7 linked regions of the Callithrix jacchus genome follow. The protein of the gene in region 4 purifies or fractionates together with the protein of the main gene of each other region. This does not show direct contact. Links are inferred from orthologs where the notes say so. Each region holds a gene or a part of one and is shown on either strand. Other genes may lie near its edges. The genes, in order: CARD11, RIPK2, PELI3, MAP3K7, PPP6C, USP18 and TGFBR1.

What was found.
Region 1: the proteins of MAP3K7 (region 4) and CARD11 purify together in Homo sapiens (affinity purification with western blotting; 3 studies listed by BioGRID). This does not show direct contact. The link is inferred for Callithrix jacchus from reciprocal best matches to the Homo sapiens genes MAP3K7 and CARD11.
Region 2: the proteins of MAP3K7 (region 4) and RIPK2 purify together in Homo sapiens (affinity purification with western blotting; 4 studies listed by BioGRID). This does not show direct contact. The link is inferred for Callithrix jacchus from reciprocal best matches to the Homo sapiens genes MAP3K7 and RIPK2.
Region 3: the proteins of MAP3K7 (region 4) and PELI3 purify together in Homo sapiens (affinity purification with western blotting; 3 studies listed by BioGRID and IntAct, with this or other methods). This does not show direct contact. The link is inferred for Callithrix jacchus from reciprocal best matches to the Homo sapiens genes MAP3K7 and PELI3.
Region 5: the proteins of MAP3K7 (region 4) and PPP6C purify together in Homo sapiens (affinity purification with western blotting; 3 studies listed by BioGRID and IntAct, with this or other methods). This does not show direct contact. The link is inferred for Callithrix jacchus from reciprocal best matches to the Homo sapiens genes MAP3K7 and PPP6C.
Region 6: the proteins of MAP3K7 (region 4) and USP18 purify together in Homo sapiens (affinity purification with western blotting; 4 studies listed by BioGRID, with this or other methods). This does not show direct contact. The link is inferred for Callithrix jacchus from reciprocal best matches to the Homo sapiens genes MAP3K7 and USP18.
Region 7: the proteins of MAP3K7 (region 4) and TGFBR1 purify together in Homo sapiens (affinity purification with western blotting; 3 studies listed by BioGRID). This does not show direct contact. The link is inferred for Callithrix jacchus from reciprocal best matches to the Homo sapiens genes MAP3K7 and TGFBR1.

The regions. Positions count from the first base shown.
Region 1 is NC_133503.1:19,345,833-19,350,085, reverse strand, and holds the start of CARD11 (caspase recruitment domain-containing protein 11), read right to left. Parts: upstream 2,801-4,253; 5' UTR 2,607-2,800; intron 1-2,606. UniProt on the Homo sapiens protein: Adapter protein that plays a key role in adaptive immune response by transducing the activation of NF-kappa-B downstream of T-cell receptor (TCR) and B-cell receptor (BCR) engagement.
Region 2 is NC_133517.1:37,377,464-37,380,963, forward strand, and holds part of RIPK2 (receptor-interacting serine/threonine-protein kinase 2), read right to left. Parts: intron 3,015-3,500; coding exon 2,857-3,014; intron 1,028-2,856; coding exon 978-1,027; intron 110-977; coding exon 1-109.
Region 3 is NC_133511.1:123,543,589-123,547,088, reverse strand, and holds part of PELI3 (E3 ubiquitin-protein ligase pellino homolog 3), read right to left. Parts: intron 2,214-3,500; coding exon 2,084-2,213; intron 1,018-2,083; coding exon 916-1,017; intron 1-915. UniProt on the Homo sapiens protein: E3 ubiquitin ligase catalyzing the covalent attachment of ubiquitin moieties onto substrate proteins. Involved in the TLR and IL-1 signaling pathways via interaction with the complex containing IRAK kinases and TRAF6.
Region 4 is NC_133505.1:96,667,375-96,671,468, forward strand, and holds the start of MAP3K7 (mitogen-activated protein kinase kinase kinase 7), read right to left. Parts: upstream 2,801-4,094; 5' UTR 2,592-2,800; coding exon 2,472-2,591; intron 1-2,471. UniProt on the Homo sapiens protein: Serine/threonine kinase which acts as an essential component of the MAP kinase signal transduction pathway. Plays an important role in the cascades of cellular responses evoked by changes in the environment.
Region 5 is NC_133502.1:173,787,365-173,791,419, reverse strand, and holds the start of PPP6C (serine/threonine-protein phosphatase 6 catalytic subunit), read left to right. Parts: upstream 1-1,255; 5' UTR 1,256-1,350; coding exon 1,351-1,425; exon of another isoform or gene 1,426-1,643; intron 1,644-4,055.
Region 6 is NC_133502.1:213,247,289-213,250,788, reverse strand, and holds part of USP18 (ubl carboxyl-terminal hydrolase 18), read right to left. Parts: intron 2,201-3,500; 5' UTR 2,092-2,200; coding exon 1,929-2,091; intron 696-1,928; coding exon of another isoform or gene 581-695; intron 1-580. UniProt on the Homo sapiens protein: Interferon-induced ISG15-specific protease that plays a crucial role for maintaining a proper balance of ISG15-conjugated proteins in cells. Regulates protein ISGylation by efficiently cleaving ISG15 conjugates linked via isopeptide bonds.
Region 7 is NC_133502.1:147,251,348-147,254,847, reverse strand, and holds part of TGFBR1 (TGF-beta receptor type-1), read right to left. Parts: intron 1,418-3,500; coding exon 1,175-1,417; intron 1-1,174. UniProt on the Homo sapiens protein: Transmembrane serine/threonine kinase forming with the TGF-beta type II serine/threonine kinase receptor, TGFBR2, the non-promiscuous receptor for the TGF-beta cytokines TGFB1, TGFB2 and TGFB3.

The sequences.
Region 1 (4,253 bases), on a different chromosome or scaffold from region 4:
CTCCCAAGTAGCTGGGATCACAGGCGCCCACCACCACGCCCGGCTAATTTTTGTATTTTTAGTAGAGGCAGGGTTTCACCATGTTGCCCAGGCTGGTCTTGAACTCCTGGATTCCTAGAACCTGGGCCCCTCCTGTGATTCTGCCACCCCCTTCCTAGTATAGTGTCCACTCGGGGGGCTGTCCTGTCTCATCTCACAGCTCCGCACCCCCTTTTGGTGGGGCTGCCCTTCTTCCCTGAGATTTTCAGCATCATCTCAGCCCAGAACCTTCCAGGAATCCCTGGACCTTCTGAGTCCTCCTCTCACAACCTCACTCCCTGTTGCCCTCCTGCTCCTCCTAATTCTTTTCCTTCTCATGTGCATCTCAGCAACACTCTGAACAGACTGTGTGATGAATGTACTCGGGATGGAGCGCCATTTCTTCGTCCCCTATGGCACCAAGTACAAAGCCACCCACACACGCCCACTGATGGATTCAAACAAGTGTCGTCATCTTTAAAGAGTTAGGTTTAGAAGTCTTTTTTTTTTTTTGAGATGGAGTCTTACTCTGTGGCCCAGGCTGGAGTGCAGTGGCACCATCTCAGCTCACTGCAACCTTCACCTCCAGGGTTCAAAGCGATTCTCCTGCCTCAGCCTCCCAAGTAATTGGGACTACAGGTGCACACCACAACACCCAGCTAATTTTGTGTGTGTATTTTTAGTAGAGATAGGGTGTCGCCACTTTGGCCAGGCTGGTCTCGAACTCCTGACCTCAGGTGACCTGGCAGCCTTGGCCTCCCAAAGTGCTGGGATTACAGGCATGAGCCATCGCTCCTGGCCAGAAGTCACTTTTTAAAATCATATAAAGGATGAGCAGATACACAAAATATGGTCTATTTGCACGATAGCCCATTATTCATCCTGAAAAAGGAAGGAGATTTGGTCACAAGCTACAACATAGATGAACCTTGAGGACACAAGGCTCAGAGAAATAAACCAAACACAGGAAGGACATAAATTGTATGAGCCCACTTAGATGGGCTTCCAAGAGTCACCGGATTCCTAGAGGCAGAATGTAGAAGGGTGGCTGCTAGGGGCTGAGGAGGGAGGCAGGGAGTTCTTTTTTAACGGGGAACACAGTTTCAATTTGGAATGACGAGAAAGTTCTGGAACTGGATAGCGGTGACAGCTGAAAGACAAGGTGAATGTGCTTGACGCCACTCAGCTGTGCACTTCAAAAGGGTTCAATGGGCTAATTTTATGTCATGTGTATTTCACCACAATTTTTAAAAAATCACGTAAAGGATCATTCATGCATGAAGCGAAGCCTGCTGGGCCAGTAGAGCCGCAGCCTGCCTGATACCCAGGCAAGTAAAATCTCCACGGGTCCAGGCATTCTCTGGCCTTAATTGACTCAGCTGAGTCCTGGTCACTGATACCCTCAGGGCACCCCTGGCCTGAGGCAGGGCTATCATCTCTTTACAGATGCCTTGCTAGGGAGAGAACTGGAGTTTCAGGGAAAGCATAGAAATGGACACTTGCGGAGAAATTCCTGTCCTCACATTAATTCCGAGCTCCCAGGATTTCCGGCATGCATTATGCACAGGCTGAGCACTCAATAAATGTAGAATGACCAATCGACTATTTTTCTCCCCTTTCTGGTAGGTTGGTAACCTTACACCTTCAAGATGAGTCATGAATGCCAGGAGAAAATTTTTTGAACTGCAAATCAAAGGCTCTGAGAGCAGGCCAGGCAGAGAGAGGTCAGTTTGGTCCAAGACCAAGTTTGTGTGGGTGGCTCTGAAGCTCTCAGTGAGATCACTGTCCATGAACCTGGGTCCCCATGACAGCCTCCAGCAGTGCTCAGAGCCCCCCAGGGACAGAAACGCCCTCTCTGCCCCTCTCTGCAGAAGGCATTCAGTAGAAGGCCTGGTGGCCCCATCGGGCCTGAGGGACCTTCTGGGGAAGGTGGCTCTCAGGGTCCTGCTCCGGGCTTCAGTGGGGAACCTGGGCCCCCTCCTGTGCCCCTGCCATCCACTTCCTAGTAGAATCCCCGCGGGGGGCTGTCCTCTCCCAGCTCCCCACCCCCTTTTGGTGGGGTTGCCCTTCCTCCCTGAGCCAGGCCCCACCTTCCCAGGAGCCTCTGAGTCAGGCTGGGCTGTGGTCTGCAAACTTCCGGGCCTGTCAGGTGTCAGAACAGTTTCTCTTCCTCCCTCCGGGGCAGGTGCACCGAGGGGCACCCTCCGGGTCTCCAGCCTCCTGACCCCCAATTCTTTCCTGTCCAGTAGGAGGAGGTGGGGGCTTTGATCGGCAGCGACACTCAGAGACGCTCAGAGAGACACAGAGAGGTACACGAAGTGGAAAGTGAGGAACAAAAAGGGTTGGAAGGGAAAAAGGGGAGAGGAGAGTGAGAGAGAGAAGGGGGACAGGAGGACAGAGATGGAGAGGGAAGGATGCCCCCAGCATCCCATCTTCTAGCCAGCATGAGCCACTCCCATCCCCGAACGACTCCTCCACTCTGTCATCTCACTGATGCCCCCCCATCTTCTCCCCGTATCCTCCTCTCTTCCCCCAACTCCCCGCCTCGTGCTCCCCCTCCGCCAGCCCCCCATCCCCGCTGTGCCTACCTGAGGCGCTCATGCTCCGCCAGCTGCGCGGGGCGTCTCCTCCATGCAGGCCTCTGGCTTCCTCCAGGCGACCGGGCCCTCCGAGGGGCGCCGCCCCCCCAGGGGTTGCAGGGCGGGAGGGAGTTGCTGGTGGCGCGGGGCAGGAGTCCGAAGGCCAGAGAAGGCAGGAGAGAAAAAAGCAGAGAAAGTATGTCATAGGCTGGGAGGGGCGAGGGAGGGAAATGCAAAACCCGACAGGAAATGAGACTAAAAAATGCGAAAGGTTAGAAAAAGATAAGGAAGAGAAGGAGGGGGCGGAGTCCGTGCTTCAGGGAGGAGGGAGGTTAAGGAGGTGGGGGTGGGAGTGGGGACAGGGCCTGGGGCGGAGGTGCTTGGGTACCGATCAGGCAGCCCTGGATGGGGAGACCAAGGCTAGTCTCAGGGGGCCAAGCCACCCGCATCCCTCCAGGTGAGGGTGGACCAGCCTGGGCATCAGTCCCCACCCAGCTGTGACCCCAGGCAGAATCCAGGTGGGGCTATCCTTGGGAGGGGCTATCCCCTTTCTAGGATCTCCAGGGCTCTGGCTCCAGAGGTCTAGGCGAATTTCTGAAGAAATTCCAGGCCGTGTCACTGCAATGCGGGGATGGGGTGCCCCACATCAAATCCTGCAGCCTCCTACAGCCCAAGCTTCTTTCTTCCCTCAGCCTTTGTTCTGGAAGCTTCCTGGGCATCCCAGTGGTCAGCACCCCTGCAAAAGCTTTCCTCATCCCCCTAGCTTTGGGCCCCAAGACACCCACAATCAGCTTGTGTGCTCAACATTCCAGTGAACTATACTTGTAAGAGTAACTGTGATTTGGATGTCACCATTTTACTTTGCTTTTATTTTTTGAGATGGAGTCTTGCTTTGTCGCCCAGGCTGGAGTGCAGTGGCGCAATCTCAGCTCACTGCAAGCTTCACCTCCCGGGTTCAAGGGATTCTCCAATCTCAGCTTCCTGAGTAGCTGGGACTACAGGCGTGCACCATGAAACCTGGCTAAGTTTTGTATTTTTAGTAGAAATAGAGTTTCACCATAATGGCCAGGATGGCCTTTAACTCCTGACCTCAAGTGATCCACCAGTCCCAGCCTGCCAAAGTGCTGGGATTATAGGCATGAGCCACCGTGCCCAGCTGGATGTCATCATTTTAATAATTTACCCCAAAAGGTCATCATGGTGGGTGGGATGGTCCCAGGGTTTACATGGTTTGTGGACTCAAAAATCGTGATGAAAGAAAATGTGATACACACACACACACACACACACACACACACACACACACTATAGAATACACTCAGCCATAAAAAGGAACAAAATAATGTTTTTTTGCAGCAACTTGGATGGAACTGGAGGCCATTATCCTAAGTAACGAATTCAGGAGTGGAAAATCAAATACCACATGTTCTTACTTAAAAGTGGGAGCTAAGCTATGGGTATGCAAAGGCAGGCAGAGTGGGATAATGGACATTGGCAACTCAGAAGGGAAAGATTAGGAGGGGTTAGGAGATGAAAAATCACCTATTAGGTACAGCCTACCCTGTACAATGTACACTATTTTGGTGATGTGTGCACTAAAAGCCCAGACTTCACCACTACACAATTTGTCCGTGTAACCCAAAACCGCATGAACCC
Region 2 (3,500 bases), on a different chromosome or scaffold from region 4:
GAGATCATACGTGCCCGGTGAGGTATATCATATGGCAAACTTTCTTCATTAATAACAGGTCTATGTCCTTGTGACACACTATACATTATCTGCAAAGGATTGGTGACGTCTGTCAAAACAAATGGACTGCATCCATTAGAAATATATTATGATTCAGCATATTACTTACATTCTAAAACTAAAAGAAAATAAGTGAATATTAAAATTTTAGAAATAATTCATTACCCCCTTTTCTGTGAAGGAAATATATATATCCCACACCATTGCCAGACTTGTCTGATTCCTATGGAAGGAGTTTATATCCTCACTTCATTAATTTTGGGCTTGGCCATGTGACTGGATTTGCTCAACAGAGTATTTGTAAAGCAGAGCTGAGCAAAACCTAGCAGAATCAAGAAGAGCTACAGCAACTAATATTTAATGTGAATGAAAAATAAATGCTTATTGTCTAAGCTATGGAGATTCTGAGGTGGTTTTTTGTCACACAACAACCTGACCTACACAAACCTCAAAATAAAGAAATAAACAATATTTTCCAAGAATAAAAAGGACAGATTAGTCTTCAGTGTTTGCTGGTCTTTATAGACAGAGCAGTAATTAAATTATCATATAAATAATTTTACAGCTAGAATGGAACTTGAAAATAGTAATTTAAAATTCTTATTCTGCAGGTGACAAAAATGAGGACTCAAGAGATTGTGTGACTTGATCACAGAGATAATTACTATCAGAATGGGAATTCAAGTCTGGGTTTTTCTGATCTTTAATCCAGTATATTTTCTAATACAGTAGACTCACAACTGCATCCTTAACCCAGTATGCTTTGTAGTATGTGATACATTCACAATTGATAAATTCTTGTTTTAGTGTGTTTTCCACAAAATGAATAAGCAGATTTAAAATAACATGATTTTTAGATAGTTCTAAGGGTGACCTACTAACATGATATTATTGAGCATAAAAAAGTCAAAACATACCTTCAAAAGGCTGTTTTCTGGATAACACTTCCCATGTCATAACTGCATAGCTGTTTAACATAAGAACACACATGTTATGCATTTTAAATGACCTCTGCATAATAAACTAAAATAGCACTATTTTTAAAAGCTGACTGTGAAGATACCATTTTTGCAAGTAAGAAGGCATCAAAGAATTACTGTATACAATTAAGATGATGAATGCTCATCTAGTTTTGTTTTGAAAGAAAATCAATTTTAATTTAAAAAATTAGGAAATTACTGTAATAAAGCTTAATGTTACAGGCAAGATTAACTTTTTGTAGATGATTTAATACTGGGATTAATTCATGAACACCCACATAACCTATGCCCTTTAATTAAATGATACTATTTTTCATACAGAACAAAGAGCAAGAAAAAAGTTCTCATGTGGCTCTATTCTACTGACTTTTTTCTGCTCTCAGCACTCTCTTCTTTGGTAGTGGAAATAATCTACCTACAATTTAACTTCAGTTGTCAATTACAGGGTTAAGCTGTATAGAGTTTATAATTAGAATAAATGGTTAAATGGGATATAGGAATTTTGCCACACCCCAACATTAACCATGCATTCAAAATGGACACATGGAATTTATTACTACCAACACCTTGTGTTACAGGAAGAGTGAGGAGTACAGAGGGAATTCCTACCCAAATAAAGGAATAATATTTCCTCATATTTCCCTGACAGAGAGTACTGAAATTGTACATAAAGGCAAAATTCACAAAATGAATGACTAACAGATTTAAATTGGCCTATTTTTATAGAATCAAACCAGCTTTCAAGAACTGTTGGGAAGCACATGACTTTTGCCTTAGGAAGATATTAATACATTTTCCCTTCCCTCAGTACATCATTCAAAATGAATTAAAAAAATTAGAAAACAAAATATAAAAGGACAGTTTTTTACATTCATACAATGCGAATGTAAAAGACACTGTAAGAATTGTTTTATTGCACCCACTAAAATGGATTGGCTAGCTTTGGATTTAATGAGAAATAACAAAAATTAAAATGCTTTTGAAGAAAAGGAATATACAATTTAATTAAATTTATAGTTCTCTGGTAGAGATAGAGCATTTGTTCCTAAAATGATTCATTTTTAACTGAGTATTTATTAAAGATGGCAAAAACCCATTTAAAGAACTATAAAATGTGTTAATATAAAATTTAGAGTCTGCTTTGGCATTCACTAGTATATTAAAAGAGATAAGCATAACTTATAAGTGAGGTGAATGTCCCTATCTCCTAAAACTATGTAATCATCCTCCTTTTTTTCTGGTTAAATAACGAGTGTCAAAAACAATGTGTTATGCTTATTACTGCATTATGAGATTATAAGTAATATGCATCTGAAATATGAAAATATGATCTTCTCAAACCCACCAATTTGTTGAATAAAAAATTCACACACATACAAATATTAGGGGTTCTTTAAATAGAAACATCCCCTGTATGATTAAGAGTTTGTCTATTTATCTAAAAAGATGTATAGATATGACAGGCTAAAAGGTTGCACAGGTTGAGAAACTTAATGCTAAAATGTCAGAAACCACTATTTCCCTCTGCCTTTCCAAGTCACATACGACAAAAATCCTTAACTATATTATAAAGTGATAGGAATAAGAAGATATGCTTTAAAATTTCTTAAAGGATGTAAAAATTTCTTTAATTTGAAAAGCAAGTCATTAAATTTCTTTAATTTGAAAATCATTTATCACCATGGCCTCAAGTTTATTTTCACCACAATTATAAGAGAAGAATAAAAATCACAGTTTAAAATGTAGCTTCAAAATTCTGGTGGACTAATTTTGTGTTTGAGACAAGGTTAACTGAGCAAAAGCAACTTTACTCTACCTATATATATCATGCTTGATACTGGCCCTTGATTTTTGCCCAGGTTCATAGTTTTCAGGTGGCATATAGACAATTGTCCCTCCTTCTGGTGCAGATTTGCTACTTCGTGATTGTGAGAGGGACATCATGCGCCATTTTGATAAGCCGAAATCTGCAATCTGTAAGGGAAAAGGGCAAATAATTAAAAATTTTTCTCTTTAAAAAGTCCAAAAGTCAACTATCTTTGTGTATATTCACTGCATTTAGTTATCAATCTGAGAAAATGTTATATATTTTAATATTTTATTTCTGTGTATTTCACCAGCTTCTTACAAAATTAAATTCCATAGTGCTGAGCCAAATAACACTAGAAGCAATACATACTGACTTCAAGTTTAATATAACATTACAAATTTCAAAAGAGACTGTTTGAAAAATAAAAAGAGGCATTTTTTATCTGATATTCTCAGTGAGTGTGTACCTTGCACACCTTACTTTTTATGACATATATAGCTTGATACTTTCTACATCTCAAAGAGCTGCTAAGTCTACTCACATCTCATACAATTGTCACTGATCATTTTTTACAGTTCTGGTTTATACAATTGTATTCATAATGTCCTAAAGGTAGCATCCCTCAATTATAAAATAAGCAAAATCTCAAT
Region 3 (3,500 bases), on a different chromosome or scaffold from region 4:
CTCCTTAGGCCCTCTAGGTTCCCAGATGGGTCTCCAAGTACAAGAAGCCATGGCCTGGAGCTTCTCCTCCTCTGTTGCCCCCAGCGCTGGGGATCACCCCACTCAATAAATACCGGTTGATTTGCCAACAGGATAATAATTAATAATAATATAATAATAATATCTGCTGCTCAAATGTTAGCAGCAGATAGTGAATTCTGAGTAACTATTTGCCATAGGCCAGCCACCATGCTAAGCATTTTATGTGCAATGCCTAAGTTAATCTTCCCGTGGGGTGGGTACTATTAAGGGCGTCATTTTACAGATGAGTAAACCAAGGCCCAGAGAACTTCAGTGACAATAGGTGGGCAAGGTGGCTCATGCCTGTAATTCTAACACTTTGGGAGGCCAAGGCGGGTGGATCACCTGAGGTCAGGAGATCAAGGCCAACATGGCGAAACCCTGTCTCCACTAAAAATTCAAAAACTAGCCAGGCGTGGTGGCGCATGCCTATAATCCCAGCTACTCAGGAGGCTGAGGAAGGAGAATCACTTCAACCCAGGGAGCAGAGGTTGCAGTGAGCCAAGAGTCCGCCACTGTACTCCAGTCTGTGTGATGAGAGCAAGACTCCATCTCAAAAAAAAGAAAAATGAACTTAAGTGATGGAGCCAAAATCTGAACCACACATTAGCCTCTCACACCTGAACTCCTGAGCTATGTGACCTCCCACAGTCTGGGAGTCTTGAGTTTGAGCCCTGATACAGCCGCTGACTTGCTGTATGACTCTGCAGTCAGCAGCCCACACTGGGACATCCTGCTTCCTCGTCTGAAGAGAAGCAACTTCCCCATGGCCTCCCATACTGTAGCCTCACCTGAGATGCTTGCAGAGCCTAGAGGCCTGGTGGCCAGGAGGTGTGTGGAGAGGCCTGAGCATACCTGGAACATGTCTGTGTCACTATCATGTGTATACTCCACTATGACTGAGTGGCTCCGGGACAGTGTGTACGAGATGCTGTGCTGGCCACGGTTACTCAGTGCCTGAGGGGAGAAAAAAGTCACTTGCCAGGGTGTGCAGCCATGATAAGGGTATGCCTCGAGCCGGCAGCTGGAGCTCAAGGCCCAGCAGCCACTCCCTGGGAAGTGGGCAGCTCCATCCTTTGCAGAGGGTGGACAGTGCAGTGGCTGTTTCATGTGATTTAAACCCTACAGTCACCCTAAGAATTTCAAAGTAATTGCCTCCTCCAAACTACCTGAGGCTGCTGGGATACCAGGGAGCAGTGGCACAGTCAGAGGGTCAGGATATTCAGTGGTGCCAGAGGATGGACCACAAATGGGGTTACCAGTCTGGGCATGGTGGCTCACACCTGTAATCCCACCACTTCGGGAGGCCCAGGTGGGCAGGTCACTTGAGGTCAGGAGTTCAAGACCAGTCTGGCCAACATAGCGAAACCCTGTCTCTACTAAAATATAAAAATTAGCCAGGTGTGGTGGTGCCCAGCTACTCAGGAGGCTGAGGCGGGTTGAACCCAGGAAGTGAAGGTTGCAGTGAGCCGAGATCACACCACTGGACTCCAGCCTGGGTGACAGAGCGAGACTCTGTCTCAAAAACAAAAAAGAATGGGGTTATTGTTCCCATTTCACAGTTGAAGGAACTACAGGTCAGAGAGAAACTAGCCTAAAGGCACACAGCTGGAAATATCAGAGGCTGAATTCTAACCCAAATCCTCTAAAGCCAAATGTTTTTCCTTTACCATTGCAGTGTGACTGTCGCCTCCCACTCTCTGAACCTTAGCTGCCTCTAAAATGGTGCAGCTCATTTCCATCCATTTCCATTTCCACTGGATGGAAAGAAGCAGCATCGTCTTAGAGGTAGCCAAGGTTCAGAGGGGTCCAGTGGTCAAGGAAGCATTTTGCAAACTGTAAAGAACTATGCACACTGCAAAGGATTTCTCATCACCATTCTCGGCTAGCCCAATAAGCAGTGAGTGATGACACAAAGTAGGCTCCCCTGTTGCAGTGGGGGGCTGTGGGCAGGTAGGACTGAGAATGCCAAAGACCTGGGCCTTGGGCGGGACCGGCTCAGGTCTATGGGTCAGTTGCTTGCCTTGGAGACGAGCGGCGTGGAGATATGGTGCATGACGTCCGGCTTCACTCCGTTGGCATGCGGCCGGCGGCTCAGTGCCAGGCGGCTTCGCCGGCGGCCCTTGTCCCCACTTGCCAGACATCCATTGTAGCTATAGATGTGGGGAGTTAAGAAGAAAGGGTTGTAAGAGGAGAGAGAGAAAGAGGGAAGGTGAACCCCTGATGAGACCTGGAGGAAACTGCCAACTTCTGGGGAGATCCTACGTTAATAAACAAGCTCTAGAAGCCCCACAATAACAAACTGGTGCACTGGGGAGTGGGCGGGGGGTGTCAGAACAGTTTCAAACGCACTTTCATTCAGTTAACCAAGTGTTTCCTGGACACTCAAGCCATGCCTGGTTCGGTGCTGTGCATGGGGGCAGTAGAGCACCACGGGGTCAGTTGTGGGCCCTCAGTGGAGAGGTTCCTCAGCTTCTCCAGGAACCTAAGTGCCACCTGCCACACCCAGACACAAGCCAAGGATGCCATAAGCCTAGAAGAAGAAAAGGGAATTCTGGCTCTAGGATCAGGTTTCTGGGAGAGGAAACACCTCTACTGGGTCTTGAAGAACTAGAAAGGGTTCACCTGTAGCAAACTGTCACTTCTCACACCACTACTAGGAAGCAAAATCAAAGGAAAAAATGACCCACAATGCCACTACCTCCATATGTCTATATATGTCAAATTTCCACCTGCCTTTCCAGTTCTTGTCTGGAAGGGACGGCTGTGAGAGGCACAGAGTGGGTGAGTCACAGCTCTCATTGCTGCCATGGGCTGCTGCCCCCGTGTTCCTGGCCTTCATGTTATCAGTCACCTAATGGCATCTGTGCAGTGGCCTGCCAGGCAAGCGGCTTTCTGCCCATCTTACACATGAGAGAAATCAAGGCTCAGGTAGATAAAGTGACTTGCCTCAGGCTAGTAGGTAAACATGTCCAGATTTGAGCCTGGTCTGTCCCACTCCAGACTTGCAGAAGCCCCTCTAGATGGAGGCTCACCCTAAGCAAAGGCCCCAAGGCTGTCAGGGTCTAATGAGATTGGGGAATGGTGACGTTGGTGAAGTGTGGTGGGGAGATGGCTCTGAACTCCAGGCTGAGGACGTTATTCTGTAAGCAGTGGAGAGCCAGGAAGGTCTGGGAACAGGAGGTGACAGGACAAATAGCTGCCAAATACAGACAAGGCTGCTGGAATCAGAATCTTCCAGAGAGTTTGCTAAAATCCAGATGAGGTCGGGTGCGGTGGCCCATATCTGTAATCCCAGCACTCTGGCGGACCAAGGCGGGCAGATTGCCTGCAGTCAGGAGTTTGAGACCAGCCTGGCCAACATGGTAAAACCCCATCTCTACCAAAAATACAAACATTAGCCAGGAGTGGTGGGTGCCTGAAATCCCAGCTACTCAGGA
Region 4 (4,094 bases):
ACTACTGAGTTACAATATTAGAAATGCAAGATCAGCTGATGTCTTAGAAATATGTATCAATTAAAGGACTGCATATTCAGCCTGTGATTGAGTTTTTTTTTTAACTTTCTAGTTATATTGATATAATACAATTCAATTATATTGAGAAATACAAAATATGATTTTCTTAATTTAGAAGGTAATATTCTTATACAACATAAAATACTGAAAGCAACATAAAATAGTTTTTGTTTCTGACTATCTTCCTCTGTTATTTTACTCACAATTTTACTGGAAGTGTAATCTAAGTTGACAAAGAGCTAATAAGGGTCCATGGTTCACCCTGGATTGTATAACATTGCTTTAATATGTGCAAATGAAGATGATGGAAATTATGTAATGCTTTCAATATCAGAAATGTCTAAATTCAACCTTCTATGCAAAAATGAACAGAGTATTAAAAATGAAAAGGAATAAAACAAAAAACCCAAATAACTGACTACCATTAGAAAAAAATTTTCATCTATAAACAAAAACCTACTCCTTAGAAATGTCCTACATACACACACACCCCCACATACACACAAAGGTTGAAACATTATTTAAACTGAGAGAAGGGTCTTGGAAACACACAAACCTAACAAGAAGTGAAACAGCTTTAGGGAAAAGCATCAAAATGATAACTACCTCCTTAGAACTTGTTTTTCCGTGAATCAAGAATGCAAAAAGCCTTAAAAAGTAGCAAACAGAAACTAAGGTTTTAAGAACCAAATGAAATGTTTGTGAAAGCATTTAGTAGACCATAAAGCACAAGTTATTATTATATAACAATTTGTAGTCTACAAGCACAGCAAGCAATTCACCACAGAGCAGACGCAAACACTTATTTAAAAACTGCAATTCTTGTATACTGACTCACTGAATTTTTATTCTTAAAAAAGAATATTAGCCATGAAAGCTGGATCAACTATCCACTTCTGGAAAAGGAATTTATCATAGCCTTAACGCAAAAAAAAATACACTAAAAACATTTCTCCCTTTTTTCAGGTCTTCTTTTAGCTATTTGACCTTAAAGCAGGTCACATTTCCTCTCTGGAACTAGGTTTCCTAATATGTGTCAGGCCCTGTGGTAGGTGTTTTGCATATAATGTCTAAGACTATGATGTGTTATGCAGATAAAATCAAACAGAATTTATTATCTCTTTCTTACAGTAAACTAAAATTTAAAGGGGTTGGGAAACTTGCCCCAAATCACACAGCTAATAAATGGCGTATCTGATACACTGAACTTTCCTCTAACTCCAAACACCTTGCTCTTCCCATCATATTATCTTGTAAAATAAGGATGTTCTCAATGAATCTTTAAAGTTACTTTATGTGATAAAAATACATATAATCCAGTAATCCACTACTCTTCCAAAACATGCACAGGAAAAAAAATTTATTTGTTGAACGTTATCTTACTACTTTGAACTTGCTGATACTTAAAAATAATTTTATAATTTTAAAGTAGACACAACTTGTTGACAATCTATAATATTTCACTAGGTTTTTCATGGTATATAAAACGCAAAGTGCTTAAAAATTTTTTAAAAAGGCAAATAAAAGGTAAGAGCTGATATTTTAAACCGAAGTTTTTAACAAATTCTAGAGTGTCTTTAAAATATATATACGCAGTTTTTACTTTTCTAAATTTGATAGTCATTAGAACCCAATTACCTCTCTGTTAATTTGAAAAGAAGCAATGCTTTAAAGTCACATTGAAATAACAGGTTCTAAAATAAATTACTGCAGAATAAAGAGGATATGGGTTTTCTGATAGCGATTTCTAGTCTAATGTTAATATTCTGATTGTCACTGTAATCATTCGTTCTCTTCAGAGTATGCTACTTGAAACATATTTTGATCGTAGACCAGTCTATGTTACTTATGGTGAAATTTACCTACATTAACCCAACTGGAAGCCGAGCATTTAAATCGGAGAAATTGAGAACCATTCGGTGCCAAGGGAAACACTTTATTAGACTTGACGATCTATTAATTTAAGAAGCATTTATTGAGCATCCCCTACATGCCAGGCATTGAGGTAGAAGTCGAACATCATACAATCTTTGACCATTCAGAACATTACGGCCAGCGAACTGAAACTCCAGAACGGCTACGATCTTCGCTGAAACTACTACTTACAGATACGAGAACTGGTGGACCACAATATCTCACCAGTTCATTCTCCTGTTTATCACCGGGATATCAAATCCAAAATCAAGAGTGCCCAAGTGAGGGAAAAAAAGCTACTCCCGAACAGTTGAGCTCAGAGAGTAACTCCTACTCCCGCGTCACTGAGGGATGTGGGGTCTCCCGGGTGGACCCACTAGGGTCCAGCGAATTAGAGGGGTCGGGGAGACACCTTCAAAGCCAGGACCTCTGGGGCACAGGCAGAGGAGGGGTCGGGGCGGGCCGGGACCGGCGTCTACATGCCGGGCCTCGCTCACCTCTTCCACCTCGATTTCCTTGTAGTCTATCTCTTCAAAGTTGAGGACCTGAGAAGGGGCTTCGATCATCTCACCGGCCGAAGACGAGGAGGAGGAGGAGGCGGCTGAGGCTGTAGACATGATCCCTCGCGGCGCCCGGGTGGCCCGGGAACGGTGCCGCCCGGACAGTCCGGGTGAGACCCGCGCCCACCCGCCTCCGGACCGACCTTCAGCCTGGAGCCGCGCACTCCTACCACCCGTCGGTCCGTGGCGGGTGTAGGGGCAGCGGCCACAGCCGTGTCCCGGCTCTGGCTCCGCTGCGTTTTCCGCTGCCGGGCCCCGCCCACTATACTTCCGGTTCCGGGCTGAAATCGGAAACAGGAAGCGGGCCGTAAACTCTGGGGGAGGAGATGGGAGGGGAAATTTTTTTGACTTGGAAAGTAAAGGAGGGACACGTTGGGGGTGGGGTAGAGTAAGCTAAGAAGCAAGCTTGGACCTCTAGAACAAATTTCGCGAGACCTTTATTACAGGGCCTCAGCAACCGGATGATAACGCGAGAGCTGATGCCTAACGTAATTAAAGTGCGCGAGCGGAAGTGGCGCGGAACGTGACGGAAAATCAGTACGGTTGGTCCTTTAAGGACCAGCGGGAAAGATGAAAGATGGGGTTTCGTCTCTGCTGCGTGAAATATGTTTTGGCCTCACTGCGTCTCCTTTTAGCTGCCTGCAGACAGGCAAGATGGTATTGAAATGTGTTTTTGTGACGAAGCTTACCTTTAAGTTTCAGCCCTAAACTAAGTTGACCTGTTTCTTTAAGACAGCTTACGAAATGTATTTTCCTCAGTGTGGGATATGGAACGAAGCAGTTGCACCTGTTACTTTGAGCTCGTCCCTGACACTATGAGAGATTCTAAAAGAGCGAATCAGCTTATGCAACATGAATAACTGTGGAGGTTGAGTGCTCATGAACAGAAGTTAATATTTTGGTGTTACAACTTTATATGGAGGAGATGATTAAGAGACATAATTTGGCGTATTCATCTCAAGTTATGGATTACGAGTGCAGGGCACTGTTGCTTTAGATTGGTAAATGAATCATCAACAGTCGTCTTGAAAATCAAATTTTTACATCTCCATTTTCAGGACTTGAGAAAATAGGCTCAGACTTTAAAGCAATTATGGTCCTCTGAAACTAGATCAATCTTGTCCCCAAAATGGGCAGCATTGCCTATATTGTACTATCAGCACAAGTTTTAGTTTTAAACTAACTGTTGAACTCTATTTAGTCCGTTTGACATAAAGCCTAACCGTGGAAAATTGGAGTTAGAAATGAAAATGTAAAGACCAAGGATGGATTCACGCTAATGTCAAATTCTAAGTTTCAGTAAGAGACTGAAAGAGGGAAGTGAGGAAAATAGTAATTGGAATGTCACCAGAGGAAAGCTCTCCAATGAAGAAGTAGCCAACCAAGTATATGCTGTATAAAAAAGAATTATGTTAAACACAATTGGGATTGCAAATAGGTCATTGGATTTGACCATCAAGAAGTTACCAACTCCTGGGAAACATTGTGTCACTTTTTTTTTATCATAGTTCTAGTGACACGCAATGACAGTTTGATAAATGGATAAAAAAAGAAAGAATA
Region 5 (4,055 bases), on a different chromosome or scaffold from region 4:
TCCATTTCCTGGGCTCAAGCGATTCTTCTGCCTCAGCCTCCAGTGTAGCTGGGACCACAAGCACGCACTACTGCCCCCGGCTAAATTTGGTAGTTTTTGTAGCTACAGATAGGATAGAGATCTTTGTCTATTTTGTTCACTAAGTATTCCAAGCGCCTGCAGCTGTACCTGGTACATCTTTGTTGCTCAATAAAGAGCGGTTGAATAAACTACTGAAGGTATGCGGTACTGTTCTCCGTGCTGGAGTCACAGCAGAAAACTCCCTGCCTTCGTGGGATTCTCACTGGAAGTATGCTTAAGCTTAAGCCATTTTCCAATCTTGGCCCCACCATTTGTTCCCTGTGAGATTTGGGGTAAACTACTTAAAGCCTCCAAGTCTCACTTTCCTACCAATTGTTACAAAGATTAAATGGAAAAATAGAATTTGTATCGCATTTAGCATAAGAAATGTTTTTTTTTTTTGAGATGGAGTTTCGCTGTTGTTACCCAGACTGGAGAGCAATGGCATGATCTCGGCTCACCGCAACCTCCGCCTTCTGGGTTCAGGCAATTCTCCTGCCTCAGCCTCCCGAGTAGCTGGGACTACAGGCGCCACCACCATGCCCAGCTAATTTTTGTATTTTTAGTAGAGACGGGGTTTCACCTTGTTGCCCAGGATGGTCTCGATCTCTTGATGTCGTGATTTACCCGCCTCGGCCTCCCAAAGTGCTAGGATTATAGGCGTGAGCCACCGCGCCCGGCCAAGAAATGCTTTAATATTTCTTTATCTTCCTTTCAGGCTGGAGCCTGACATTTGTGCCACAGGCTTAAGCGAGGTTTTCACAGGCACTTGGAAAGATGCAAACAAGTTACTACGGCCAGGCTTACCCAGTTGTTAAGTGAAAGTGAGAGAGTGCTTAAAAGGGTTGGAAGGAGAAACGAGTGAGTGGCTAGGACGACCTACTCCGCCGTTTTGCCTCGGAAAAGCCTCGCCCGCTGCCGGGAGGTGAAAGTCTGGAGGAACTGAAGGGGAGGAAAAGAAAGGGGTGGCTGTCCACAACGGAAAACTACAAATCCCGGCAACACCCGCGGCAGGCGACTACGGGTCCCATCAGAATTCGCAGGCTGGACCGATGGGGGGGCCTCTTGGGGCCTGCAGCCGGGGTTCAGCCAGAGGGGGCGCCGGGCGTACCGAGGTAGCGGGGAGAAGCGGGTCGCGCTTTAACGGCGCTGCGCAGACGCCACTCACGGTCCGGACGTGACGTAGGAGAGTTCCGGCTTCGGCCTCCGCCGCTGCCGCCGCCGCCGCTGCTTTTACAGCCGCCGCCGCCGCCGACCCCGCCGCTGTCGCCGCGGCTTGTTATTCTCAAAATGGCGCCGCTAGACCTAGACAAGTATGTGGAGATAGCGCGGCTGTGCAAATACCTGCCAGAGAACGACCTGAAGGTGAGCCCTGCCGGGGCGGGAGCGCTGCTTACAGGCTCGCCCCTTCCGGCTGTGGGGCGCCCGCCGGCCCGCCCTTCCTCTCTTCGTGGGACCCCCGCCGGGTATCCCGTCTCTCCGCGGTGGAGGGCCCTCTCCGATGCCATGCGACCCGGCCCGACCCGGCGTCACGCCAATGGTTGGGGGAACCAAGTCCCCCAAATGATGTCCTAGTTGCCTCAGTGGGTATCCCAAGGGATTTCGCGGCCTCTACCCCAGGGTCGCCCCTTTTGGCCTTCGGGCTGCCCCAGGACCCGTAGCTGCAACAGCTTTGCTTAGCAGCTTTCCACCCCTTCCCGGGATCTCCGGCATTCACTGCCGAGCCCCCGCGGCAGTGCCCTCGGGATGGGATCGTCCCCGTTGGAGGTGACAGGAGCGCAGAGTGGCCGGCGTCTGACAGGAGTTGCCACAGGCTCTTGCAACGCGGCCCCAGTTTGTTTAGGTCTCTGAGGAAGGGGAAGGCGGTGGGTCCGAGTGGTTTGGTACTGACGAGAGCGAATGTCAGATCGTCCCTCTTCTCTGCCACTCCTCCACCTTCTCCAAATTGCCTTTTAGGACCGTGGGTTTTCTTCTGCTAATTCAGAGGTGAACCCGTTTCTGAGTATTTTGTTGAGCTTACTGAAGTGGAGAAAGTAGTTGGTTCTTAATAAATACAAATACTTTCCCCTTAACCCCTTCTTAACTCAAGATTTCGTTTTCTTGGTTTTCTAAAGAAGACGAGTTCCTCGTTGCCCTTGAGTCCAAGTAAATGTATGTATGGGTAAAGGAATGAGTTTGATATACTGCTTTTCTTTTCAACTTATTATTTATTTATTTATTTTATTTTTCTTTGAGACGGAGTCTCTGCCGCCCAGTCTGAAGTGCAGTGGCTTGATCTCAGCTCACTGAAGCCTCCGCCTCTTGGGTTCAAGCGATTCTCCTGCCTCAGCCTCCTGAGCAGCTGAGATTACAGGCACATGCCACCACGTCTGGCTCATTTTTGTATTTTTAGTAGAGATGGCGTTTCACCATGTTGGCCAGGCTGATCTTGAACTCCTGACCTCGTGATCTGCCCGCCTTGGCCTCCCAAAGTGCTGGTATTACAGATGTGAGCCACCGCTCCCTTCCATCATTATTTTTTATTGAAACAGTCTCACTCTGTCATCCAGGCTGGAGTGCAGTGGCGCGATCTTGGCTCACTGCACCTCTGCCTCCTGGGTTCGAGTGATTCTCCTGCCTCAGCCTCCCGAGTAGGTGGCTGACACCCGGCTGTTTTGTATTTTTAGTAGAGACGGGTTTTTGCCATGTTGGCCAGGCTAGTCTCGAACTCCTGACCTCAATTGGTCCGCCCACCTCAACTTCCCAAAGTGCTGGGATTACAGACGTGAGCCCCCGCACCCGTCCTAGGTATGCTGCTTTTTTGAAAAGTGTTTATGCATTTGGTGAAACCAGTGCTTATTAGGTTTCTAGCAGTGCTTATCAGCTTGTGCTAGTTATTTATCTTAGTGTATTCTTCAAGAAATATATTACTGTGGGTTTTGTTTGTTTCTTCTTTGGTATTGGAAGTTGATACTTAACATAAGTCAACAAGTATGCATAATGTTTGAGGCCACACATGCTGTTGTGAATGTAACTGAATTGTACTTATATGTTAATTTTATGAAGCATATTATAGGGGAGTCATTCTTGTGTATGCTCCCATTTTTAATAGGATAATTTAAAATAAGGATAGAGCCTTCATTAGTAGCAATGTAGCATACATACTCATCAGTCCTTCAGACATTTGTTTTGTGGCTTCTTTCTGCTATGCGTGTTTCTTTTTTCTTTTTTTTGGAATAAGAATACAACTAGCATTGGGATCCAATTCATGGAAAACTAACCAGACCTCTTAGTAGCATTATTAATCCTGTAGGTGAGGTTGACTATTGCATGTCAGTGAATTGATTTGGAATTTTTTCTTTTTATTTATCATGTGTAAAGCTTTTTTAAACTTTGTGTTTATGATAAATAAAATGTTTTTTTTTTTTTTATGATAACGTCTCAGGCATGGCATAATCCCAGCACTTTGGGAGGCCAAGGTGGGCGGATCATCTGAGGTCAGGAGTTCGAAACTAGCCTGATCGACATGGGAAACCCCATCTCTACTAAAAAATGCAAAAATTAGCCTGGCGTGGTGGTGAGTGCCTGTAATCCCAGCTACCTGGGAGGCTGAGGCAGGGTGAATTGCTTGAACCCAGGAGGTGGAGGTTGCAGTGACCCAAGATCAAGCCACTGCACTCCAGCCTGTGTGACAGAGGGAGACTCCATCTCACAAAAAAAAAAAGAATCTGTTGGACTTCTTTGGACCTCTTACTTTGATAAACATTAGATTTCCTTCTTACCTTAATGAAATATAGTTTTTAGACCATTTTATTTCCTATTGAACACAACTGCATTATACTTTGCTTCTATTTGTTTTTCTTTTTTTCTTTTCTTTTTTTTTTTTGAGATGGAATTTCGCTCTTGTTACCCAGGCTGGAGTGCAATGGCACGATCTGGGCTCACCGCAACCTCTGCCTCCTGGGTTCAGGCAATTCTGCCTCAGCCTCCTCAGTAGCTGGGATTGCAGGCACGCG
Region 6 (3,500 bases), on a different chromosome or scaffold from region 4:
TGACAAGGCTGGGTGCGGTGGCTCACACCTGTAATCCCAGCACTTTGGGAGGCCGAGGCAGGCGGATCACCTGAGGTCAGGAGTTCAGGACCAGCCTGGCCAACATGGTGAAAACCCGGTCTCTACTAAAAATTCAAAAATCAGCTGGGCGTCAAGGCAGGTGCCTGTAATCCCAGCCACTCAGGAGGGTGAGGCAGGAGAATGGCTTGAACCTGGCAGGCGGAAGTTCCAGTGAGCCAAGACTGCACCACTGCACTCCAGCCTGGGCAACAAGAGTAGAACTCCATCTCAAAAAAAAAAAAGTTGACAAAAATCAAATGTTTTTCTTAAATCTACTAAGGACATGAAATCCTGTAAAGTTCTCTTAGAGGTACAAAGCGTTCACTCAAGAGCTTGCAAACAAATTGAACAGAAGATAACACCGGCCAGGCGCAGTGGCTCACACCTGTAATCCCAGCACGTTGGGAGGCAGAGGCAGGCAGATCACCTGAGGTCGGAGTTCGAGACCAGCCTGGCCAATATGGTGAAACTCCATCTCTACTAAAAATACAAAAATTAGCCGGGGCATGGTGGCACATACCTATAATCCCAGCTACTCGGGAGGCTGATACAGGAGAATTGCTTGAACCTGGCAGGCGGAGGTTACAGTGAGCCAAGATCGTGCCACTGCACTCTAGGTGACAGCAAAACTCCATCTCAAAAAAAAAAAAAAGTTCAGTAATAAGAAAAGTTTTAATAGCCCAATAGATGAAGTGAGATGTCACCAAAAATGTAAATTATTCACGGCCAAATGAGTAGGGCAAGCCGTTGTTGGGGGAGACAAAGAAAGAAACATCAGAGAAAGCACGACTGGGAATTATGGGCTCCCTCATTCCAAGTGCTCTCCTCAGAGCCGAGTCCAAATGTGAATCTGCGGGGCTCACGGACAAGAGGAACTCCCCAGTTTGTCTCTGTCGGACTCCAGTGGAGAGGTCCCTGCCCAGTCCCCACCACTGGGAGGCAGGAGATCAGAAGGCAGCTGTGGGGAAGATTCGCCTAATCCAGTCTCACCCCGAGAGGCCGAAAGGCAGAAGGAACTTACAAGAATAGGAGAAAAACAAAAGGCGACATTTCCCTGAACCCTGGCACCCAACCTCCCCTCTTCCAACCCACCTTAGGCTCCGCAGACCCCACAAGGTGGGCAATTTAAGAGGGAGAGAGTACCACTAATCTCAGACTTCTTGGGGAAAGGGCTTTGGCTTATGAGATAGGGCAATAAAAAAGTAAAAATTGGGGGCTGCAGGTGAGCACAGATTTCCGCATCCAGTACAAAGGGACCTCAGCAGTAGACATGGGAACTAACTGCCACTAGACGCCCAGCGCTGGCTGAAAGCAGCTTCCACAGAGGACCCCACTGAATCCTCCCAGCACCCATGTGCTTGCTGCTACCATTGTCCCCATTTGGTTTTGCTTTTTAGAGATAGGATTTCACCATAGCCCAGGCTGTATCCCCGTCTAAAAGACGCAGAAATTCAGGCCCAAGAAAGCCGGTGCCATCAGCCAGGATGCTCTGCTGCTTCAGAGCGAAGGGGGCGAGGCAAGCATTGACATGCAGTCAGGGCCGAGCGTGGTGGCTCACGCCTGTAATCCAAGCACTTTGGAGGCCAAGGCGGGCAGATCATCTGAGGTCAGGCGTTCAAGACCAGCCTGACCAACATGGTGAAACCCCGTCTTAAAAAATAAATAAATAATTTATTATTTATATAATAAATATTTAATAAATAAATATATAATAAATTTATATATTATATATTTAGTATATAAATATATTTATTATATATTTAATAAGCATATGATAAATATACATGTTTATTATAAACAAATTTATTTGTTTATAATAAATAAAAGACATGCAGTCAGGAAGAGGAGAATGGGAGGGGTCTAATGACCATGAGGGTATTCCCAGGCCCCAGGACGAGCTCCGGGCTGCTCTCCCTTCCTCTTCATGTTGCTGTCTGCTTCCTTCTTTCCAACAGGATCTGCTGGGGACCGTGGAGACTCAGCCAGGTTTGACTGACAGGTTTGTCCCAGGAGCCCAAACGCCTTGCCCATTCGTGATCACTCCAAAACCGCAGGCCGCAGCTGCCAGGCCGATGTGCAGGACAGCACCACCTCACTTCCAGGAAGAGCTCATGGGAGTGAGCCAGGCACAATGGGATCGCTGTGAAAACACAATGCAGGAGGTAAGGATTCGAGAAGGGGGAATGTGTATGTTTCATGTAATCCGTTCTGATGCCAAAGAGCCAGGGCTTAGCGGGAGGTAACTGTTTGGGGAGGTTGATGCATAGAGCTCTAGGCTGGAAATGACAGCTAGGCTACACATCCGCTACTCTGGGTCCCCCGAGTTTCCATTCATTCTTCCTCAGAGCGGACTGCCAAATCCTAACCCAGAATGCCTTCTTGGGGAAGGACAGGAAAGCCCGCATGGGACTCCGCTTTGCAGCCCAGGATCAGGCCCACTTCAGTAAATGCCAGCACTGAGCAGAAACTCAGCCCCTGATGCCAGGCTGGCACCCACAGAGGAAGCCTCTCAACCTGCCCCACACCGGAAGGGAAACTGCGGCCCTGTAGCACAGACCTGTGTTCTGGCCGCATCACTGCGGCTGCAGCCGTCACAGGCCTCAGATAAACCTCAGCTCCAGGCAGGCGCTGGCACCCACAGGCCTCGGGCACTGGGCTGGTCTCACGGCAGTGGACTCTGGGTGTGACCCAGTATTGCGTCAGCCTCGGTGGCCATAGGGTTACCCGTGCACCCCTCCCCCAACCCCAGCACAGCAGCATGAAGAGAGACACTGTTTGCTTAGGGAAAAAGAGGTAGGTAGAGGACTTTGCCTGGGAACGCAGTACTAGGTTCACTACAGTAAAACCCAGTACTGGGCAGAGCCTCAGCTCCCTGATACTAGACCAGTACCCACAGGCAGATCTCACGCCACCCTAGTGCCAGATGACAACACGCTCCCCAGCGACAGGGACTTGGGGTCTGGCCCACATCACCACCTACCAGCTACAGGGACCTTGGGTGCTGAATAAACCTCAGCAGCAGCAGGCAAGCCATCGCAGCCATGGGTCTTGGGCGAGCCCAGTGCTGTGCGGGTCTCAGCAGCCATGGCCTTCAGGCGTGACCCGGGCTGTGTCGGTCTCAGAGACCAGAGAATTCCAACCACAGTGATCCCGGACTTAGGGCATGCCCTGGCACTACAACAGCTGATGCAGTCATGGGCTTAGGGTCCTGAGCAATCAGCCTCTCCTTAATCTCGGATGAAAGAAGAGCCCAAACAAAGCCGCATGATGAAGACTGGCTTCGGTACCTGTGTCAATGCACGGACACTGGCACACAGCCCTAAGAAGCAAGATCAGTCAGAGGAACATGACATCGCTAAATGAACAAATTAGGGTTCCATGACTAACCCCAGAGATTCAGAGCTGAGGCCTGGCACGGTGGCTCAGGCCTGTAATCCCAG
Region 7 (3,500 bases), on a different chromosome or scaffold from region 4:
CGCCGCCTCCCAGGTTCAAGTGATTCTCCTGCCTCAGTCTCCCGAGTAGCTGGGACTACAAGTGCATGCCACCATACCTGGCTAATTTTTTTGCATTTTTAGTAGAGATGGGGTTTCACCAAAATTAGTGAAATTTTCATTACATATGCTTTCCAAATTTTCACTTCACTCCTGAATTTAGCCCTTATTTGAAGATGATTCATACTTTTCAAAGGACAGTATATATCTCATTTAAAAGTCTTAACAAACCATTTGAAGTGTTTTTATCAACAGTATGGGTTCCATATTTTTGATGAGGAAACAGAAGCCGAAAGAGGAAACATGTTTTAACCAAGATTATATAGCCAATCTATGACAAAACTTGCCTTGGAAACTAGATTCTATTTATTCTTAGTCAAGTATCAAATTCTAAAAACATACGAGGTAGGAGTGTTCCTTAATAGTCTTCCAAACCTCATGCAAGAAAAAGTAAAAGATAGCAGCCCTTCAGTTTAAACATGAAGCACTGCTATGCCAAAATCCACCCTGGGATGACTGACAATTAGCTCTCCAAAATATCAACAAACAGAACTGAGAAAGGCAAACCTCATTAGGGGCCAAAACTACCTTAAATAAGAAGGTGGCTAGACATTTTTCTGAAGTGAGAAAATGACATAAGAGTTCATTAGTTTAATTTTTTAAAATGAGGCCTGTACTAAAGACAATTTCATATAATGTTTAAAAAGCAAATAACCTTCACAATTCAGAATACATTTCTGTCATGCCTGTTTTCAAATATAAACATCAAGCTGCTAAATAATCCTGAATAGAATGGGTTAGCTGCAAATGGTTTGAAGATCTTAAACTTCAGCTTCATCTGTATGAGAATAATTGTTTCTATCCTTTCTACCTCACAGTGATGAAAAGCAAATTTGATGATACCGGTGAGAATGCTTTGAAATTTATACCAACATGGAGCTCTACTTACTCATTTTAACAGTTAAAGTAAGTTCCAATCTATTTTAAACTAGCCACAGGCATATATATAGCAAGCTTAAAGATTTTTATTAGGTTCAAACCTGTAATATTATTTATCTCACATTTTAACAACTTGGCTTATTAAAAAAACTAATAAAATAAATACCCCTTAATTTTTAAAAGACTTGTTAGGAAAAAGGAGAAACAATTACATTACCTGAGCCAGAACCTGACGTTGTCATATCATAAATTAAGTCTTTCAATGTAGTACCCTCTGAAATAAAAGGGCGATCTAATGAAGGATCCTCTTCATTAGGCACTCGATGGTGAATGACTGTGCGGTTGTGGCAGATATAGACCATCAACATGAGTGAGACGCAGACGAAGCACACCGGTCCAGCAATGACAGCTGCCAGTTCCACGGGACCAAGGCCAGGTGATGGCTTCACTGAAAAAGGGCCTTGAGTGAAACAAACATCAACAACAACAAAACACTGTAGGTGGCAACCCCCATTTTCCTAATCCTACACAATTCCTGCAGCTGGCCACTGCCACCACTTAGCCGAAGAGCCTCATTACAACAGCTTATAGGGCTCAAACCCAGAACAAGTGAATCATTCAGTCTTCTCCCACTAGGCCTCCTTTTATGAACACCAGCTCTGTCAGTACCCACTTACTCTTCCTGTATTCTTCAGCCATCATCACAAGGTCAGCTGTCACCAATATTATAGGACCTTCCTCACTTATCATATTAGGTTACTAATACCAATACTCAATAATCAGGTTATTGGTATTAGTAATTAATAATTAGTAGTTAATACTCATTAACATCTCCTTAATAATCATCTTGTTTTTTTAAAGTATGTCTGGCTTGTCTTCTTGTTCTAAGGCCAGTACATGCCCATGGCAGGGGAAAAGAAAAACCCGAACAACAAAAAAAATCAAAACAAACAAAAAACCCAAAACACATACATCTTCATCACTCCCAAACAACTCACATTTTAGTATATATCTCTACTAATTTTTTTTTTTGAGATGGAGTTTCACTCTTGTTGCCCAGGCTAGAGTGCAGTGGCGCAATCTCAGCTCATTGCAATCTCCGCCTCCCAGGTTCAAGGGATTCTCTTGCCTAAGTAGCTAGGATTACAGTCACGCACCACCACACCTGGCTAATTTTTGTATCTTGGTAGAGATGGGGTTTCACCATGTTGGTCAGGCTGGTCTCAAACTCCTGACCTCAAGTGATCCACCCACCTTGGCCTCCCAAAGTGCTGAGATACAGGTGTGAGCCACTGTGCCCAGCCCATTTCTCCACCAATTTTTTTAAAGGCAAAACACATCCTTTGTTTTTTTAACAGAGTTTTCATATATATATATATACATATGTATATATATATTATTTTAACCTCCTGGACTTTTAAGTCCAGATCATTTTCTTGTAACTTCTACTAATAATTAAGATTTTCTGGTTGTTTCGGAACATTACAATTATTTTGACATTCATCCTGAGCCTTACTGGTTTACTGCTTACCACCACTTCATTCATATCACATCTTTCCCATTCTTGAGATCTTTAGTAGATTAATCTCTTATCACACAGAATCCTATTTCTAGTAATTTCTTTCAGGAAGAGTCTATGGGTCCTTGTACACTGAACTTAGTTGTGGCAAGAAAGCTGTTGCCTTTCTATATGAAAAATCTTGGCCTATTTCAAGAATTTTGGGTAACAGCAAGAATGTTCCGTTTGCCCTCTGATATTTAAGCAAAAAATGTGAATTTTTTTTTTTTTGCCTCTTACAGGTAACCAATGTTTATGTGTGTTAAATGCTTACATAATTCTTTTATTCTTGAAATTGATAATTTTTATTATATGTGTTTGTATTAATATTTTTCACTAATTCTGTGTGGTATTCTGTCTTCTTTCTTGTCTCATGCCTTTTTCTAGAATTCTGATAATAAGCATATTGGATAGTCTAAATCTGTTCCCTATAACTCTTAATATGCTCACCAACTGTCTTTTCTCTGAATTGTAACACAATTTCTTAAGCTTGTCCCAAACTTGACTATAAAATTATAGCATCTGGTCTGTTGTTTGCTCTCAATAGTGCATTTTTAAAAACATTCATCAGTTGGACTTTTCCTCTGAAAGCAACCTTTAACAACTGTGAAATGTTCTCATTTCATAGTCAATAACTGAAAATAGACCTTAAACTGTTTGAAACTTCTTCCCTATCATGTGGTAAGCCTAGTTCTTAGGATGACATCTAATCTATGTAGTTCAGACTACTTCTTTTGAACTCCTAACTTTTCATTGGTAATTTTTTTGTTTGCCTATCTTAGAGCTGGAAATGAGAAGTGTATATATGTTCATTAGAAACATAAGAGGTGAAGTGACTTCTTCACAAGGTTTTGCAAATCTCTACTCAGATATTTTGAGCTCAAATGACGGAACTGGGAAATTCTGGAACTATCCTTTTCTTTGCCACATTGTAACTCCAGATGCCTTCATCAAAGTCACAAAGATATTACAGTCTGACCAGCCC